Arabidopsis thaliana: one gene and its partner. The protein of the gene in region 1 interacts with the protein of each later gene in a pairwise test. Each region holds a gene or a part of one and is shown in the gene's direction. Other genes may lie near its edges. The genes, in order: AT5G19150 and PHOT2.

Region 1 (7,829 bases):
CTTTTTTCTTGACCGTCTTGTTTCGTAAAGGGAGAGACTTGGAGAGTGTGAATCGTGGGGTCCTTTTAAGTGGCGGGTCCCGTAGATCCAAACTTGTCACACGCGCGATCATGGCGCGTGACAAAATTAGTGGGGCTAAAGACGGCGTAGCTTTTAGTTACTTTTTAGTGCGCATTAAAACGGTTAAGGCGTTTGGTTCATGCACCGAAAATAGCGTTTTAGTCCAAAAATGTGTATATGTGACTGATGAGTAATTAGATGGAGGAATATTCTAATGAGTAAAGAAGAGTAATTAGATTAATGAAGGACGAGAGTCCGACTTAAAGCCGTCCATGGCGGAGATTAGCATGAACACATCACATGTTATTTGTCTAGGGACAAGATTCAATGAAAGTCAGAGAGTGAGAACCGAGAAAAGGTTGCGTACCGGTCAAGATCAAATTAGTACCTTTAATTGTCATATTAGACTCCCAAGGTCGTTAAAACGCTTTGTTTAAATAATGTCAAGAGAAATTTGTTTAATGATTTGGTCCGACTCTAAAACCAAGTACTAGTAGCAGTGTAAGAGAGGATGGATCTCAGATACGTTGTTGCTTCCTCTTGTGCTTCCAGCCACAGTTCAACTTCAGCCAATGAACTTTGATTGAGAGAGCAGTCACAATGGCCTTTGTTTGTGATTTGCATCTGGTAATGGAGCTCACGATTGTTCAAGGTTTGCATCAGTGAAGCCATTTTCTTACAGACCAGAGATTGTTTTAGGTTGTTTATAAAGGATGGTTCTTAAACACTAGTGTTTTGTAACTTCAAACTGATTAAGGCAATCGGTACTATACTGAGATATGATTTTGAGTGATTGATAAAAACAGGCCATGGTTGATAGTTAACAGATTGAACTTACGGTTGATTAAGAAGAAAATTTTGATAAGGTTCTTCTTCCTTACACACTTTGATATGTCTGTATTGAAACCGATTATAAGACTACCTTTTCTCCTCCCACCCCTCGACATTGCTATTGTCCCACCTCGCTTCTTCTTGTTCATCTACAAGATCAGATAGTAAGAACAACATTAATAAACACTCAAAGTTCTGTAAGTTAGAACTTTTAAGACTATGGATTCCGCAACGACTAAGAACATAAGGGTTCATCCACAAGATAGAGAGTAAGAAAAACATAGCGAACACTCAAAGTTCTATCATGGATTATGCAATGACTAAGAACATAAAGGGCTCAATGCTCATTGATCCAAGAAAACACACTATTTAGTAACAAACTGAAAGAGAAAGAGTTTTCAGTTCAGAGAAACTCTAAACGGCCAATCATCTTCTCGTATCAGCACCCTGCAACTCATGTTTTCACTAATCACACATTTACGTGAATCACAATTTATGTTCTAGCATTATGCGATTTTTCTCCATAAATGATTCCTACCAATCCACTCCATAAATTTATTTCTGCAATCATACATTGTAACCAATCGGAACCTGAAGCAAGATCTCAGGACTGTAGAGTAAAAAGATTGAAACTTTCTATTGTACTAGTGCCAATTCTCGAAAACTTTAACTTGAATCCGAACAAAGACAGGTTTTGAATTACTAAAACGGTAAAACCAGATTAGCATCTTCACAAAAATCTCTAACGCATCATGATATTGGTCGAGACACATTGGTAACTTCCAAAGTCAAATAGATAATCCATCAATCGCTCACAGCATAAATCTATCTCTTCTGAAATGAAACAGAAGCAGAACAATTAAGAGCAAGCGATTGAGAGAGAGAGAGATAACACAAGACCTTGTTGTTGATGTTGTTGAGAAGACTGAAGAGATCTTTCGTATTGTTCAGCCTTTTCAAGGAAAGGCTTGTAACCAAGCTCCAGTGACAAGTAACCAAAGGCCAATGATCCCAACACCACCACCGATGATCGAATCGCGTTGTCCATCACCGTCCGCTTCATCTTCTTCCTCTCTGTCTGAAACCTCCGACTCTGAAAAAGTTTGCTTTTTTTTTCCTCTTTCCTATAAAATAATTAAATAAAAACGAAACCTTCTTAACCAAACAGAGAGTTCACTTCTCGGTGCTGTATCGGAAGCGGTGGCTTTCTCGGCCCTCAACGAGAGAATCTGATGTTGGTGAAGCCCAGTATCATCTCTGGCTTGGTACGATTGACTTCTCATTCACCTTCTTCTTCTTCAAGTGTGCTCAGAAGGCAAGAGTTCTTGGTACGAACGCTTTGTGGGTCACCAATCATCAGAGCAATGAGTTCCACATCAGAGGCCGACGCTGAGAGTGTTCTTAGAACCGTGACGCCATCGCTCGATCTCAAACGACACAAAGGCCAAGCTGGTTAGTGCTTGCTCTATTCAATTGTGTCATCAGAAATTTATCAAATTCGAAACTTTAGGATTTTAAAGTTTGAGTTTTTTCAGGTTACTTTGATGTTTTAGCTCATGTGTTGGAATTGATCTTGTGTCAGGGAAGATAGCTGTGATTGGAGGATGTCGTGAATACACAGGAGCTCCATACTTCGCTGCCATTTCAGCTTTGAAAATCGTTAGTAGTTTCGTTTTCTATTAGCCATCACTGCTTCTGTCTACATAAAAGTGAAGAGTGGTTTCATATCTGTAAAACTGTAGGGTGCTGATTTGTCTCATGTATTCTGCACGAAAGATGCAGCTCCTGTTATAAAGAGCTATAGTCCTGAGCTTATAGTTCACCCTGTTCTTGAGGAATCATATAGCATCAGGTGAATACTCCATTCCACAGTGTGTGCTACTTCTAACTATGTGGTTTTGTTCCGTATGTTTTTATTACAATACCCGGTTTCATATCTGTATATAGTCAACTCAGTGAAGAAGATAAAAGAGAAGTTCAAGATAAAGTGCTTGGAGAAGTCGGTAAATGGATGGAAAGATTTGATTGTCTTGTTATTGGTCCTGGTTTGGGAAGAGATCCATTTCTCCTGGTAAAGATTCATCTACCCTTGCTTAATCACATTACAGAATTTGATTTGTCATTACTTTGGTGGTGGACTTACGAGTTATGTGACTCTGTATTTCCAGGAATGTGTGAGTATTATCATGCTTCTTGCCAAAAAGTCCAATGTTCCTTTTGTTATAGATGGGGTAAGCAATGATACATAGCATTAAGTAAGGATTTGATAGGCTCTTGTCTTTTTCCAAGTTTTGATTGTATAATCTTCTGACTATGGCGATTCCGCAGGACGGGCTGTTTCTTGTAACAAATTCCATTGATCTTGTCCACAGCTATCCGCTTGCTGTCTTAACCCCAAATGTGAATGAGTATAAGCGCCTGGTTCAAAAAGTACTGAATTGTGAAGTAGATGAACAAAATGCTGAAGATCAGTTACGTTCTTTGGCCAAACAGTAAGTACAAAAATGACTTCATAGGTCATCTAGAGGGCACTATGGAAGTATCTCACACACACATCACCAGGCTCATCTGGTGATTTGGAACCAAAAACTCTGGTGATAATAATGTTATTCGTCTGTGTCATTCAGGATTGGTGGTGTCACGATTCTCAGGAAAGGGAAATCTGATCTTATAAGCAATGGGGAGACAGGTGAGTAACTTTTTAGCTATTGTATCTTTCCGTTAGAGGACGTTGAGACCGTGAGGTGTGATTATCTCTATTTTTGTAGTAAAATCAGTAAGCATATATGGTTCACCAAGGCGCTGTGGTGGACAAGGCGATATTCTCTCTGGAGGGTGAGCTCACCACTCTTTGATCCAGTATCATTAGATTGCTCGGGTTACCACGGTTAAAAGTTCAACTTTTGTAGCCACTGATAGTCTGCCTAATGGATTTGGTTTCATATAGTGTTGCAGTGTTTTTGTCATGGGCACAACAGCTTAAATCCGATCCTGAAAGGTTAGATACATCCTATATTGGCTCTGCGCAAACTTTCATTTCTAACTCAATTATTGACTGTGCAAAGTGGTTTTGACAATCTCTGAAACCCAACAAAATTTCAGTCCCTCTGAGAATCCAGCTATCTTGGGATGCATAGCTGCATCTGGCCTTCTCAGAAAGGCTGCATCTCTGGCCTTTACAAAACATAAGAGATCAACTCTCACAAGCGACATTATCGAATGTTTAGGGGAGAGGTATGGATTTCTTTCTTACTGAAACTGCTGCATTAGAGAATCCACAAAAACATTTCGTCTCAATCATAATGTTTTATCGACTTTTTTCGACAGTTTGGAGGATATCTGCCCTGCATCTTAATCTCAGAACACATGAAGTAGAGTTGTCTTGCCTTCTACAACATCTTATTGTCTGTGGGAAACTTTAGAAGTGTCTGTTCTCTTGTGTCTATTTACCTCACAATTGTTTTTTCTGAATAATAAAACTTGAATGCTGTGATTACCAAGTAAAGATTACGATAGAAACAGAGATATCGCCTGTTCTTCCTCATTACCATTGTGAGATTTACTATAGAAACAGAGGCAAAAGGATCAAGAGAAGGTAGATTTTTGTTTCAGAGACATTAACTTATTAGGAAGAAGACACTAATAACACCAGAAGACACACACGTGCTGTACAAAGAAGCATAAGACATAAGAGAGATACAACACTACACACATTATCACCAACCATTGATAGCTTCAAGTACTCATAGAACAGCTTTTTGTTTTTCCTACATATTTTTTTTTGTTTGTGCTGTTACAGTTCGAGAGCTTTAAGAGACATGAAACTTCTTTTGTGTTTCTCTTTCATTTTCAATCTGCAAGAACTGTTGCTCCTTCCACCTGTTCCCACCACCAAAGTTTGTGTTATATAAGCTTTTTAGATGTTGCTAAACAAAAATACTAAAATATGATTTAGTTTTGAAGAATCAATCACCTTGAAGGTAGCTCCCCAAATTTCTCCCTCATTAGCAGGAACTGCAGTGATCTTGTTCTTAGGGTTCTCGAAGCTCCTAAGCCCACCTAATGCCGTCGAGTAATAACAGCCTGCAAAACACGCATACAAAACCATTGAGCGGGTGATGCCCCAAAAATCTTGAATTTAGGAGTGAACAAACAAAACTGAAAAACGAACCTTGAGGGAAAGACGCAAGAGACTTGCCACAAGCACCTTTTAGTAAGTCAACATCATCAGCAAATGCCACATAGCCATCAGCTGTTATTCCCCAATACAATGGAACCTTGCCAACTTGGTCCTGCAGCAAATCAAACACCGTTTTTTGTTACCATTAGATTCAATCTACTTCACAGTTTAAAAAGTGTTTATCAGGGGGTTAAAAGAACTTACAGAGGCTACAAACAGAGTGGAGGTTGATTTATCAAAGACCACAAAGGCGAAATCGCCACTTAGGTGAGCAACAACGTGGTTAGCCGGGTAAGGAGCTCTGTCACGGAGAGTCTTATAAGCCTCGATGACCAAGAGAACCTCGTTTGCGTTTTTTGCAAGCCCGTACTGCTGTTTCAAGCTTCCTAGGTTGTCAAGTGAGCCTTGGAACAAGCAGAATATTTCATCCTTAGCTCCAAATGATCTGTATCATTTCAGAAAAACATCTTAAGACAAGCCTATATGTATATCAACAAAGTCCAAATTAACTGAACTTGAGCAAAATATAGAGAATAGTATTGCAAATAATTGACTGAAGTTATAAATGCGAATAGTCAGACCGATCAGTCAGCAGCAAATCTTTAAATAGACATGCAATTATGAATGTATTGGTATGCTTGATATGGGTAAAAGCTAAAGATAGAGTGTTGTGCATAAGGCTATTAATGGTCGTGGGATTTTATTGCAGGGTTTGGTGGACCAACCAAAGTTGTCTTTGTAGTTTGGTCATATCCAAAAACCAAAATACATACAGTCCCTATAGTTGTAACCATATAGAAATTTGTAAATGTAATATTTAGCCACGATTTATTGTTTGATTGAGTGATCGGTCATTGTTGTGATTGTTGAAGTTATGTTTTAAAAAATGTTGGTTGGGACTTAATATGGCCAACATACGGAATCTTGGTGTTTGATTGGTTGTGGTTATATTTTATAAATTTGACTGTATAATTTTAATATTGATTATTCTTATGCTAATATTTTCTTTGTGATCGGATTCTAAGTGACATAAGTACATGACCAATTCAGTAATGAGTCATGAGAGGCTTGTGAATCTTTTGGTGACTAACACAACTTCTGAGACGTGTCCTTGTGCCACCACCGTCACCGACAGAGTCAACTACTAAATTTATATTTTGAGGTATCAAAGAAATTTTGGATCTTCAGTCCAAAGTTTGCTAGGTAACAATTAATGTAAATTATCTCTAGTTTATTCACATCATCTCACTCAAATCTTGTTTCCATGAAGATTGAAAGAAATCCTTTTTAACCAATGAGCTAACTTTACTTGGATAAATATTTATCATTTTTAATTTCCAATAAGAATTATCCATACAAATTTGGATCGGTACATTTCAATAAAGCTACCTATGATGTACCTTGTATATGCATATTTCTAAAAAGATATATATGATTTGAGAAAATTTTATTCGGACTTACTCTATAAATTATTGTTTGGGTCCACACACCATAACACAAACATACATCACCCTAAGTTAAGTGGAGTGCTTTGAAGAAAAGAATACCACAATTATGTAATTCGGAATCTAGTAGAAAAATTATCTACAAAATTTAGTATCTAATTAGATAATTTTCACTAATACCCTATCTTCTTAAAACAAATTAGATAAGAAAATCGGACGAAATCAAATGAAATATGGTCCATACATGCAAATATGCAATTGACTTTTATTTGTCAGCGAAATTTAAAGGCTCGACGATGATCTCATCACCGTCCGATCATAGCGAACCGACGGTAGAAACTTTGGGACCATCGTAAAAGGCCAAGTTTTAATAGATATGAACATAAGAAAAATCGCCGGCGAGACTTACCTAGGCCGGAGAGGACTCTCGTTGTGATGGCTGTAAGCAAGCTGAACATAGTCGCCGACTTGTACAGAAACAGCGGATGGATTTTTCTCGACGAACCGGTTTACTAAAGTTGATCCGGTTGTTTTCGGCGACGGAGTTCTGCTTCCGGCAGCCACTAACTCTTCCGGCGGCGATACTATAGCTCCACTGAAAATTCCCAACATTTTCTCTCTCTCCTCCGGTGATAACAATCACTTCCTTAATTTCAAAACGAAAAGAAAAATTAAGCTAACTAAATCTCTGAGCTCTCTTTCTCTGGTAACGATATATCGGACATGGAAGACGAGACAAAGGAGAGAGAGATGTATGATGGTGTTTAAATATAGGAAGGGAAGGAGATGATATGGAGGGTATTTACGTCATTTCGTCTTTGTGAATCTTCTTCTCTCTTGATTCTTCTTCTTATTACACTGAAATTAACGTCGATACGTCATCGTATGGGCAGTGACGCAGCACAAATACGTGGGTCTCACACGGAAGAGATGGAATCATTCTGGAGCGTTAGATTCTAACATTGTGGGACCAATCTTGCCATTTGTGGTCTCTTGTCTTATCCATCCTCCTTTTTAATAATTCTCAAAAATCAAAATGTTTTATTTGAAAAATTATTCTAATTATAATTATTTAAACCGAATCCTAAAATGTATTTATATTTGAAATTTAACGTAACCATTTTTAAGGTAACATCCACTTTTCGTAAAAATGAAAAAGAAAGAATAACATCAACTTTAGTTTATTAACACTCTACAACTTATTGTATTTACTTTTTAACCAATTACTTCGCCCTATTGTAATATTGTTTGCAGTGGCCGAGCTAGTCATTATTTTATTGGGATCAATTTTAACTAATGACTAAAATCTATTT
Region 2 (4,773 bases), about 17 Mb from region 1:
ATCACTATCATCCCTCTCAGCCACAGAGTCACTAGCTGTGTCATCTGCCATAGATTCACAAGCTGTGTAATATTCCACAGCATCACTATCATCCCTCTCTATGTCATCTGCCATTGTGTCACTATCATCCCTCTTTATGTCATCTGATACAGGTAAATCCTCTGCCATGATTGTAGACGTTACACGCTTTCTTTTCGTCTTCTTCTTCAAATTTTCTCGGCTAGGAAGCCCAGCAAGATCAGTGTTGCGTGGTGCAGGTTGTACTGCTTTACTGGAGCCAACACCTGGCAAGAAACTGGATACACTAAAATCATTGCTGTTCCCATTTGCCATAAGTGATTTCCAGGAAGACTTTTGGGACCAGGAAATATTGTCGATTGACTGCTCAAGATCTTTTGTTCTGCTCGGTTCATCCGATGATTTATCTGGTACCACTTCAGAAGGCTTCTTCTTTCCACGTATGGCCTGTGAAGATTCCTGTCTTCCAGTTTCCTCTAGGCTGATTGTTTGCCTATTCTTGCTTGGATGAGTAAGGTTCCCTTTTCGTCCTTCACTATATCCTTCTTCACTTGGTGTTTTTTTGTTGAGAATTGATTTCTGAGTTACAATCAAAGAAAGAGCCAGATCAGGGATGAGGTAGATGACTCATTATTGGGTTAAGTATAATAGAAAAAATATAAGTAGCACTACGTACCCGTTTTCTAGACAACATATCCAGCGCTGAGTCCATATCATTGCCACTAGATGCCACATTGATGATGAGGTTATCTTGGTCTGCTTCAATCTCATTGTCTTCTTCGGGGTCCACATTGTTTTTCTCAAAGAGCTTATTCATCACCGAGTTCATAACATTCACCTCGGCTTCTTGTCTTCCCACATTAACCGCTTCCAGATCATGAAGATGTATTTCCCGAGGAGTGAGAGAGCTGTTAGAGTGCTCTTCACAATCACAAAAGCTCCTTGGAAGAGAAGACGACACTGGAACACGCTGAAAGCTATACTTATGTTTACCAGTTCCACTAAGTGGCATAGGTTTCACCTGCACCACACATACGTAGCTCAAACCCTAATCTCTTACTACTCCTAGTACTAACTATGTCATATAAATGTTACAACTTTGAAGGAGCATTAGTAGTACCTTTCTGAGTCTGGGAAAGAAGATGTTAAGGTGAGTGGCAGGTGGTGAATCGGAGGGAGCTTTAATGGTGTTATCAGAGGTAGAAGACGCTGCCTCCCACTCTCGCTTTAAGCGAGCTAGATAATGCTCTTTTGCTTTCTCCAGTCTCAGCCTCCCTCCTTTCCAGACACATCCATTATACTGCCAAAATCGAATTAGGGTTAAGAATAACAAGAGTAAGGAGAGAGAGAGAGAGAGAGAGAGAGAGAGAGAGAGAGAGAGAGAGAGAGAGAGAGAGAGAGAGAGAGAGAGAGAGAGAGATCGAATTCACTCACTGTAGAGAAGAGCTTGGTGAGTGAATTGGTGGAAGATGGAGAGAAATCGATGTAGGCAAAGGAACGACCTTTGGTCCTGACGAATTCGACGGCATCGACGGTACCCATCGGAGAGAATATCTTGAGAAGATCATCTCTCCCGACGCTTTCTCCTAATCCGCCGACGTGAAGCCTAACGCCGCCGCCGCTGCTTTTTTCCTCCATTGCTGCTTGCTTCAGTTGGATTCAGTTTTCCCTCGCCTCTCCCTCACTTTCCTTACTTCTTAATCTTAACTAATAAGGCCCATTAGAGAAGACCCACTAGGACTTAATGGGCTTTTAGCGGGAAAATAATAAGGCCTAACAAGTTTTTAGGGGTCCCTTCTCTTTAATTTCATCGACATTATTTGAAACAGACAGTGAAAGAAGAAACAAATTGTGGATTCGTCGTCTGCGAAAGCATCTGGGAGAGAAGAAGCCACAGTCATTTTCTTAAACGTGTTCATTTTTCGTCTAATCAAATCATGGCGCATGTTCTGTTCTACTACAATCGTAAGTTTACTGGGTTTTATCTATTTATTGTTTATTCATTTTACATTGAAACATGTCTGAATTATTGTACTGGAAAAATTGATGTGAGGGGTGTAATAAATTCGTTTGATTATGAAGAAAATTTGTGAAAGAAGAGGGAATGATGAACAAGAGTGCACGTATTAAGAGGAAACAGAGTTGTGTGGTCCTTGACCTTGAGGGTGAAAAAGGGTCCATGTGAGTTTGATTATTGATAGCGATGTCTATCCTCCCAGGCTTCCGCATCGCTCATTTGCAGCCTCAGAAACATGATTGTCTTTTTAAAATAACTCAAATAATAATATAACTGGGTTTTGGAAACAGTACAGTTGTGTTTTTTAATTGGTCTATCTCTCTATCTTTCTCATCGTCTTTGCTCCTTTTAAAGACTGTGTACTATATTTCCATGAGTTGCAGCTGATAAAGCTACTCTGGTTGGTATATATATATTTTTCATTTATTTTATCTACTTCACCTTCTTTAACGTGTTTTGTTGATTTGCTTCTAAAGACTTTTAATGGCATTTATTACTTTGTTTCTCGAACCTACAGTTGTGTCTGCCTCTTCTTTCTATCTAACTTGTCTATGTGGTGTCTGGTTTTGATTTGCAGACTATTCATTACTCTGTTTCGCCATAAGAAAGAGAATAAAGAAACGTTATGGAGAGGCCAAGAGCCCCTCCATCTCCTTTGAATGATGCGGAGTCATTAAGTGAACGTAGATCTCTTGAGATTTTCAACCCTTCGAGTGGAAAAGAGACACATGGATCAACTTCTTCTTCTTCAAAGCCTCCTCTTGATGGCAACAACAAAGGTAGTAGTAGTAAGTGGATGGAGTTTCAAGATTCCGCTAAGATTACAGAAAGAACCGCTGAATGGGGATTGTCAGCTGTTAAGCCGGATTCGGGAGACGATGGCATTAGTTTCAAGCTGTCCAGTGAAGTGGAACGAAGCAAGAACATGTCTAGGAGGTCATCCGAAGAATCTACATCTTCTGAATCAGGGGCCTTCCCTAGAGTATCCCAGGAGCTCAAAACTGCTCTATCCACGTTGCAGCAGACTTTTGTTGTCTCTGACGCTACACAGCCTCACTGTCCCATAGTCTATGCCAGCAGTGGATTCTTTACCATGACTGGTTATTCTTCCAAGGAAATTGTTGGAAGAAACTGGTACTGCTCATCTCGTATCTTGCTTCTAGTTTCATTCCCAGTTATTAGTTAGAATAATATTGCTTTTGAAACCCATGCCAACTTACTCTGAAATGCTCTTAATCTTTGTGGGTAAAACGCCAGCCGGTTTCTGCAAGGGCCAGACACCGACAAGAATGAGGTTGCCAAAATCAGAGATTGTGTCAAGAATGGAAAAAGTTACTGTGGAAGGCTGTTAAACTACAAAAAGGACGGAACTCCCTTCTGGAATCTTCTCACAGTCACTCCTATCAAGGACGACCAGGGCAATACCATCAAGTTCATTGGGTACGTCCCTTAATTCCTCCCTGTTTTTCCCTAATTAATCGACTGTCCCTCGATCAATCATTTTCACATTTCCATCTGCAGGATGCAGGTTGAAGTTAGCAAATACACAGAAGGGGTAAATGATAAAGCATTGAGGCCTAATGGACTCTCCAAATCCTTGATTCGATATGATGGTATCTGTTTTTTTGCATCTCTTCGTTAATTCAACAAGTTTTTTTTAGCCAAAAACAATGATATAATTTAGCAAAGAGTGCTGATCCACAATCTTTAACATGTAATGGTTTTGATGATGATATCAGCTCGCCAGAAGGAGAAAGCTTTGGATTCCATCACAGAGGTTGTGCAAACTATAAGACATCGTAAGTCTCAAGTTCAGGAATCCGTGAGCAATGACACTATGGTAAAGCCTGATAGTTCTACTACACCTACACCTGGTAGACAAACAAGACAGTCAGATGAGGCTTCAAAGTCTTTCAGGACACCTGGACGTGTTTCTACTCCAACGGGGTGAGTCTTCGTAACCACTAACCACCAGATTACAGTAGTCTTCCTGAACATAAAATAAGGCATATATATTGCCCAAAAAGTGTGATGGCAGTGCCAAAGTTTTGCAGAAACAACTTGCTATTATCATTGCCAAATAGTGGTAAAATATATACTACACAATCTCAATCTAGTTGTTGTGTTAGTCAATATTTAACTCATAGATAATTTCCATTCGAATACGAAGATGCAGTTGCAATCTCCTACTATTGTTCTGTTTCTTATTTCTCGTGTACTTTTGTAACTTTGTGCTGGGCCTTAGAATGTATCCTCTGACATGGATTGGGTAGTGAATTCTGAAGCTGTGTATATATATGTATACATATACACTCAAGGATTTCTGATCTAGCTTCGTGTAATGTGCAGGTCAAAGCTCAAAAGCTCGAATAACAGGCATGAAGATCTTTTACGTATGGAACCCGAAGAATTGATGTTGAGCACAGAAGTAATAGGGCAGAGGGACAGTTGGGACCTATCGGATAGAGAAAGGGATATACGCCAAGGGATTGATCTAGCTACCACTCTTGAGCGCATAGAGAAGAATTTCGTCATCAGTGATCCTCGTCTCCCTGATAATCCCATTGTATGTTTTTTCTGTCTAAAATTGAGATGAACGTTTTTTTCTCGAACCTTAATGTATCAATTGTAGAGTATATTTCATATATTGATTGTTCTTACTCAAGTGTTCTACTATGTTTGTAAGCATATAATCTTGAATTGATAATGGAAATCGTTTTATTTGCAGATCTTTGCAT

Evidence for each region.
Region 2: the proteins of AT5G19150 (region 1) and PHOT2 interact in a two-hybrid assay, tested with the Arabidopsis thaliana proteins (one large-scale study listed by BioGRID).

Annotation. Positions count from the first base shown.
Region 1 is NC_003076.8:6,422,697-6,430,525, reverse strand, and holds AT5G19150 (pfkB-like carbohydrate kinase family protein), read left to right. Parts: upstream 1-2,071; 5' UTR 2,072-2,123; coding exon 2,124-2,343; intron 2,344-2,473; coding exon 2,474-2,550; intron 2,551-2,633; coding exon 2,634-2,743; intron 2,744-2,838; coding exon 2,839-2,962; intron 2,963-3,059; coding exon 3,060-3,122; intron 3,123-3,219; coding exon 3,220-3,383; intron 3,384-3,518; coding exon 3,519-3,580; intron 3,581-3,659; coding exon 3,660-3,726; intron 3,727-3,838; coding exon 3,839-3,889; intron 3,890-3,993; coding exon 3,994-4,125; intron 4,126-4,218; coding exon 4,219-4,246; 3' UTR 4,247-4,321; exon of another isoform or gene 4,322-4,740; coding exon of another isoform or gene 4,741-4,770; intron 4,771-4,864; coding exon of another isoform or gene 4,865-4,974; intron 4,975-5,062; coding exon of another isoform or gene 5,063-5,183; intron 5,184-5,275; coding exon of another isoform or gene 5,276-5,516; intron 5,517-5,652; coding exon of another isoform or gene 5,653-5,747; intron 5,748-6,925; coding exon of another isoform or gene 6,926-7,128; exon of another isoform or gene 7,129-7,209; 3' UTR 7,210-7,221; downstream 7,222-7,829. Other genes in the region: AT5G19151 (uncharacterized protein), read right to left, coding at 979-1,040, 1,792-1,954; AILP1 (aluminum induced protein with YGL and LRDR motifs), read right to left, coding at 4,741-4,770, 4,865-4,974, 5,063-5,183, 5,276-5,516, 6,926-7,128. UniProt on the Arabidopsis thaliana protein: Catalyzes the dehydration of the S-form of NAD(P)HX at the expense of ATP, which is converted to ADP.
Region 2 is NC_003076.8:23,522,111-23,526,883, forward strand, and holds the start of PHOT2 (phototropin 2), read left to right. Parts: upstream 1-1,714; 5' UTR 1,715-1,983; intron 1,984-2,019; exon of another isoform or gene 2,020-2,100; 5' UTR 2,101-2,435; exon of another isoform or gene 2,436-2,612; 5' UTR 2,613-2,660; coding exon 2,661-3,169; intron 3,170-3,292; coding exon 3,293-3,475; intron 3,476-3,556; coding exon 3,557-3,648; intron 3,649-3,774; coding exon 3,775-3,982; intron 3,983-4,384; coding exon 4,385-4,601; intron 4,602-4,763; coding exon 4,764-4,773. Other genes in the region: ROS3 (RNA-binding (RRM/RBD/RNP motifs) family protein), read right to left, coding at 1-597, 695-1,039, 1,139-1,318, 1,453-1,656. UniProt on the Arabidopsis thaliana protein: Protein kinase that acts as a blue light photoreceptor in a signal-transduction pathway for photo-induced movements.